Linked DNA regions of Bombyx mori. The protein of the gene in region 1 purifies or fractionates together with the protein of each later gene. This does not show direct contact. Links are inferred from orthologs where the notes say so. Each region holds a gene or a part of one and is shown in the gene's direction. Other genes may lie near its edges.

Evidence for each region. Proteins that work in one complex are often made in the same cells at the same time.
Region 2: the proteins of RpL14 (region 1) and RpLP2 fractionate together in Homo sapiens (co-fractionation; 3 studies listed by BioGRID and IntAct, with this or other methods). This does not show direct contact. The link is inferred for Bombyx mori from reciprocal best matches to the Homo sapiens genes RPL14 and RPLP2.

What each region holds. Positions count from the first base shown.
Region 1 is NC_085117.1:13,508,912-13,511,822, forward strand, and holds RpL14 (ribosomal protein L14), read left to right. Parts: upstream 1-1,565; 5' UTR 1,566-1,604; intron 1,605-1,614; exon of another isoform or gene 1,615-1,798; intron 1,799-1,827; 5' UTR 1,828-1,833; coding exon 1,834-2,331; 3' UTR 2,332-2,408; downstream 2,409-2,911.
Region 2 is NC_085122.1:11,211,424-11,215,683, forward strand, and holds RpLP2 (ribosomal protein P2), read left to right. Parts: upstream 1-1,452; 5' UTR 1,453-1,612; intron 1,613-2,001; 5' UTR 2,002-2,002; coding exon 2,003-2,174; intron 2,175-3,179; coding exon 3,180-3,301; intron 3,302-3,726; coding exon 3,727-3,732; 3' UTR 3,733-3,782; coding exon of another isoform or gene 3,783-3,853; 3' UTR 3,854-3,863; downstream 3,864-4,260. UniProt on the Homo sapiens protein: Plays an important role in the elongation step of protein synthesis.

The sequences.
Region 1 (2,911 bases):
TGTATTTGGTCTAACTTAACGCCAATGCACATTATTTCATTTATTTATTTTTTAATTTTTTTAATTAAACTGTATACCAATTAATTGCTCCTTCAGGATTTATATTTGTTTTTTTTTTCACGATTAAAACCGCGTAGAAAGTTTAGGCATTATAGTTGACGCATGCGCAGTACACATATTTTGCATACATTTATTCAACTAATAAAAATAGTAAATTAAACAAAAAACGAGTAATTTCGAAAGAGAACAAACGTGTTTTATATAAGAACAATCGAAAATGAATATTTACGAGTCATTAAGGATGAAAAAATATAAAAAATTGCATTAGAGGGGCTAACTTGTAGGTATATTTTTAAATATTTTTTTAAATAAATAAATGCAGAACAAACAATTATTAACAGTGAACAATCATGAACAAATGATGAACAAACGAATTAATAGAGAATAAGTATAAAATAGGAAAAAAAAATTTTTTGAGGGGCTAACTTCATTCACCTTGTATAACACGGTCACTCACATGCGCACGAATACGCAAACCCGTAAGTGTAGGACGACATTTGCAAATGATTATGCAAAGTTTTCGCTGCATTCGTGGTTTTCCAAGCTGTGTCGGTTTTTTAACAGACATCAAAGCGCGCGAACCTCGAACCTTCGCGTAGTCTCCCACACATTCGCTTGCCCAGTTGCGCCGACGATTGCGAAGTAACGGACGTATCGCCATTTTCATAGTTCGTGACGTCTACTGTGTAGCGTATCTTCATCAAAAGGAATCCCATAAAACAGCATGGCTGTTAATGATGTCTGGGAAAGAATTCAAAACTCTTTTTCTCTTCAATATTCTATTGACGAATTAAAAAGGAGGAGAAATTCGTGAGACATTCGTAAACAAGTGTTTAAGGAAGCGCAAACGGGTTCGCAAATTGAGTATGCGAACCCATTTGCACAGCTGCTAAGTTTGCGAATGAATGTTTGACGGCCCTTCACATGCGCGCAAACATTTGTACAATGTATGAATATTGCCCGCATGTGAGTGGCCGGCAGTAATAAATAATATTAATAAAAAGTGTTTTTCTCGCGTCTGAGCATTTCCATACCCTTCAGAAAAAACGTCAGTAATGCAATTTGGCAGACTTTTTGGCGGGAACGCGAAGAGTGAAGTTGTGTGATTTGTTTTATTTTATCTGTTTAGAGTTTCTTCAGGTTTAAATGCATAATAACGGTGGTTTATTAATTGCTTATTATCTGTGAAAGTGCACAAATATGGGAAAATGAAACAAAGCCGCTGGACATAACTTCTCGGGATCCTCCAAAACGTCAACTGAAGAAGTCTCATTTTATGACCACTATTTTACTGAGATTATATTTCATCCCAAATCATCTCATCTGATCTCATTTTATTTCATGCTACGAATAAATAATAAATCTTATTCGTAGATTTCATGCCATGTTTCATATTATACATAAAAGATTAGGCGGTACGGTATGATGCTTTTGCCTTTTCAGTTGGAAAATAAAACTACTATTACTGTCAATTTGACACATCAAGACACAACTCACCGGAAATTCTTTTTGAGAGTACATTGTTTGTGTTAAGACGTTGTAAGGTTAGAAATTATTATAATCTGTTTAAATCATGCTTGTATAAAACTCAATTCGATAATTAAATACTAAATAAAGAAAGAAATATTGGGTAGCTTTTGAATGTATAATATATTTCTACAATCCACCGAAAAGTACACAAAATGTTTACGTGATTTTTTGTTGATAGTGTTTGAGTGCACAAGTTAGAATTAGTAATGTAAGTAACAATTTATGTAATTGTTTCAGAACGTCATGCCTTTTGCACGGTACGTAGAACCAGGGCGTGTCGCCCTGGTAGCCGACGGTCCCTTAAAGGGAAAGTTAGTGAGCGTGGTAGACGTTATTGACCAAACTCGTGCACTGGTTGATGGACCCGGCAGTGGAGTACCTAGGCAACAGATCCGCTTAAACCAACTCCATCTCACAAAATTCCGCCTCAAATACGCGTTCACAGCCCCTACTCGTCTTGTGAGGAAAGCGTGGACAGATGCTAAACTCAATGAAAAATGGACAGAAAGTCAATGGGCCCAGAAGTTAGCGAACAAAGAGAAGCGCGCACAAATGACAGATTACGATAGGTTCAAGTTAACAGCTGCACGAGTTAAGAGGAACCGTGCCAGGACTGCCGTATTCAAGAGCTTGAAGGTGAAGGCTGCGCGTGCTGGTACCTTCGGCAAGAAAAATATCCCTAAAGCGGCTGCGAAAAAAGTGCGCACCAAGAAGGCGACCAAAAAACCAGCTAAGAAGTAATTGTTTTTGTGTCTGCGACAGGTTATGTGACTAAGACAGATTTTAAGAAGAGAATAAAGAATTACTTTTTAGCTTCATTTATTGTGTTATTGTTACATCCTTGTGTACTGTCCTAACCATGCAGTAGTAGGTGAGTTTTGTTACCATAATGCAGCAGTGGTATTTTATTTTTACTAAATTTTCTTTTTGTTTCAGTTAATAGTGGCAGTCCAGTATTACAAGTGAGTAATAACTTTAATCATTAGTTTTTATTAATTCTGTAAACGATTACTGTGATGATCTATTAAATATAGTCTCGTTCGTATGAACAAAATATGATTATAAAACACCACATTACTGAATAACAGCACTCTTTTAAATGTAGGATACAAGTATTCCTAAATACTTAATCAATTGTAAATTGTTACAGAACAAAATGTATACATTCGCTTCTACTAACACTGGGGAAAAACACTCGAGTAAGTATAATCAGAAAAGAAACTGATTACCCAAAAATAGTTCTCATTTAAAATTTAATTTTGTGAATGTTCATTCTATATTGAGGATCTAACATTTTTGAAACTTCAAACTAACTAGAACA
Region 2 (4,260 bases), on another chromosome or scaffold:
AAAATTTTAAAATGTATCGAAATTCTTCATTATATTCACTCATCTTGACAGTACGAAAAATAAATATAAATCACACATTTTCCTAATTTGATTTTGTAATTATCCTCTTTATATTTAATCTTTTAATGATAGCAAAACCAGCCAGATACAATTAATATAGCCAAAGAGATTTTATTACAAGTTCATACATACTACAATGCGAAAAGTCTTTTTTCCCAACCTATTAATACGATTTCTTGAATTTTTCACATAAATTTTGAGGTTATATGAAAAAGTGTAATCACAAAAGTTGTAGGTCTTTTTATTATTTGCAACTTTGTCATTTAATTTTGTTCCATAGGAATTGTAGTTTTTTCCGGAAATCGAGATAAACCGTTTTTACCCTTAAAACTCACCCCCCCCCCCTTCTCGACCTCAGATCACCCGTAAATTATTTTTCCTTTAATTTTTGTTATATTCTCGTCTTTTTATAATGAGTTTCATCCTACTACAATCATTTTCACTTTTTAGCATTATCAAAGGCCTAACCCTGGCCTAACAAAATATTTTCATATAGTGGCACCTTTTGGTAAACTGGGAAACTATTTGTAAAACGTTACATTTTGCAATAACATAATATTCTATTAGAGCCGTTGAGTGTCGATTTTACTAAAATTGGTATGGCCAGTAATATTAAAGAAATCAGTGCTTTAAAAATGAACACAAAAGATATAGTACTTTTTTGAATTTGTTCTCATTTAAATTTGTAATAATAGTGAGTATTCAACATCTGTAAACAGATCTGGTTTCGTATGACTGTCAGATAAAATAAATGTTGACTGGATTGGATGTATGCAATATGTGCCCTTTGCTTGTACATGGGTAAAAGAATAAAAAAAATATGTTTTGAGAAATGACAGCTGACGAACTAGGAATGCTGATTCTTTCCAAAAACGATTGATCTTTAAATCGATTTGAACCGATTCACATTAAAATTATGCTTGAGACGGGTGAAGAATTTATTCGAACAGTTTGAGCTTTTATTTACCAGGAAAACATTAAATTACTTACACACGAGTCAATAACTCACATCACACAAGAGTTAATTTATCAGGGCGCAAATATTTAAATTTCAGTCAACGTAACACATAACAATTTAACAAACAAAAAAGCTTTTTGGTTTCTTATTGAATTATGAAATAATTTTAAAATTAGTTGAACGCCTTCAGAGAGTTAGAAAAAGAATTATTTCTCATCCTTAATAAAAACTTAATAATGGCTACACGACTAATACGAATCCAGCAGTTTCCTTCGTATTATATTCATATATACAACTACATGTTCGATTCCAACATAATTGTAAATTGTTTAGAGTTGCGTTTTATTTGAAAAAGTATTACTCCATTCTAATCTCAATTTTAAACAGTTTCAAATAAAATCACTGTTTTTTTGTTGTAAAGATCGATTTAAGAATCGATTGTTTTGAAAATCAGGTCCAAATCGCTACGCTGTCATAGACAACGTAACTGTCAAATGAAACCTTGTGGATCGTTCTTTCTTACTTGTTGACGTTTGTTCAAGACGAACGTTATTCTTTCGGCATTACACGTTTCGTGTCAATTAGGACTTAAAAGTAAGTTTGAATAGCAAAATACTGTTTTTATTTTAACGAAATTAATATGAGCGGTGTGCGTTTCCTGATTATCGTATGAATTCTTTGATCTTGATAGTGATTTAAAACGATTGAAAACGCGGGCTTTGCTGTTTAGTTTTGTTGAGGTTATGTTGTGTATGAATGTAAAGGTAAAACTAACTTACGGTTATCGTGCATACTCCAATCCATCAAACGAAGATAAACATAGTTTTGCACCATAAGTTAATTTATTTATTAGTAATAGCGTACATAGTCAAAGACGACAAACTACCCATTAACTTCTTAGGCTCTAACGATGTACAACAAAAATACAACTACAAATCTTATTTTCTAAGCAATAATATGTTTAAAAATCTATTGTGTTGTAGAATGCGTTACGTGGCCGCGTATTTACTGGCTGTGCTGGGTGGCAAGACCACGCCAGCTGCCGCTGACGTTGAGAAGATCCTCAGCTCCGTCGGTATCGAAGCTGACGCTGAGAAGCTTAAGAAAGTAATCACTGAGCTCAACGGCAAGGATGTTGAACAACTTATTGCGGCCGGTAAGTCAAATATATAATTTACTACTTTTTTTTTAAACCTATGCTGTTAGCCTTGAGAGGCCTTTTCAGCTTCGCCCTAACATGTGTAAGTGAGCTCACGGGGCTCAAACCGGAGTGTCGCTAACACTGACCCTAGCAAGAGCAGTGCTTCGCAGAATGTACCACCGGAATACTAACTGTAATAGTTGTTACTTGCACCTTAGCCCGCGTTGTCACAGTAAAAAAAGTGTAAGTGTAGCTACTCGTGGGAATAATATGTTTATTTGGGATAAAAAAAGAACATATTTTACTCCTGACCCAATACTGTCAAAAACAATCCAGTTAATCTGATGCTTTCGTTTCGATTTCAAATAAGGACAAACAAGCACACATTCACATTTAATTTTGGTACGGATTTTATTCCTGTATTGTAATTTTTAATTTTATTAGAAGCATTCAAATGACCTCACATTTTGGTTACTTAAAGTTTAATAGTTATTAAAAGCACTCTACCTACCTTGAATATTTTAGCCATTAAAGTTAGAAACAGAAAATAGTCTGCGGAACTAAGAGTTTTCTTAATTCAATCAATGATTTATGAAAATCTACACAATAGCACCCTGATTTCAACAGGTGGGTGTAATAATTTCATATCTATCCATTAGTTCCGGTAGTTACCAGGTAGGGCTATTGCCACCTATCTATTAAAAGAACTGAAAATTAAAACTACACAAAACAATATCAAAAGAAACGACAATGATAAGCACTGAATTTTCTAAATCATGTACTCCCATTAATTACATCTAATCCACGATCTTTCTGATTCAGTACTAGTGACCTAGTACCTTGTAATTGTAACTTAATTGTGGTTGTAATATGATTATATTGATTATAATGATGAAATAATAATAATAACACCATCTTTCGTCTGAATGACTTTGATGCTATCTACTATTCTGATATTCCTTTTTTATAACTCTAAAGAGGTTGATTGTTGTGCATATCTGATGTTGTTTATGTGCTTAGGACGTGAGAAGCTGTCGTCAATGCCAGTAGGAGGCGGAGCACCTGCAGCGGCTGCTGCAGCTGCCCCAGCTGCTGCTGCTGCTGAGGAGAAGAAAGGTAATTTCAAAATCAAGATAAAAAATGTAACGTCGTTAATGACAGGACTATTTCAATACTGAAACTGTGTAGATAATTTCTGTAATTAGGTACTATTTCACTCATTTTGGTGGAGAATCAGTTGCATATTCTGATTAAAATCGCTGGAATATAATTTGTGACTGACAATGTTGATAACCAAATGTGGTCTCTAGACCACACTACAGGTCTATGACACCTATGAGTAATTTTAAGCTATTTTATTTAGCTTCAAATGTAATTAAAATCCTTTTTTTTAACTTGGCCTATAGTTATGTAATAAGTAATCTATGTAACTAAAAGATTAAATAAAGTCCCAACGCTATTAATTTTATTAGCAATAGAAAATTCAATGTGATGATTTTCAAATCAACACCATCTTTCGACTGATCAAACAGTGCTGCATTCTTATTATCTGATGTTTTGAAAACAGAAGTAAATTATACCAATTTTGAATTCTCTGTCTAATCCTTCGACTTTGAATTACAGAGGACAAGAAAGAGGAGAAGAAAGAAGACTCTGAATCTGACGATGACATGGGCTTCGGTCTCTTTGACTAAACTTTACAAAGTGAGTATATAAGTTACTTTTATAGATTTATAAAAATATTAGATGATGTTTTTATATATGGAATGATTGATTGTTCTCATGTTCTTACTGCACTTTGTGGATTATTTTTCCAATTGAGCTTCAATTTGGGACTTTTTGAAATGGTAGACCTCTCAACAAATTAGTAGTCATTCAGACAAAGCAATAGTTATGGCAAACACTGGCAGGATTTTTTAATGTCCAAACAAAAAAAATAATTTGAAAATCATGATGTACAAGAAACTCAATAACTTTGAGCTGTTGGTCTACCGAGTGAACCTGCTCAATGTATGATCCTCTTAACGTTAGGGTTAATTAGTTTGTAAGGTGGTTGCGTGGTTTATATCTTTAAATAGGGAGTCAACATTATGACTTGAAT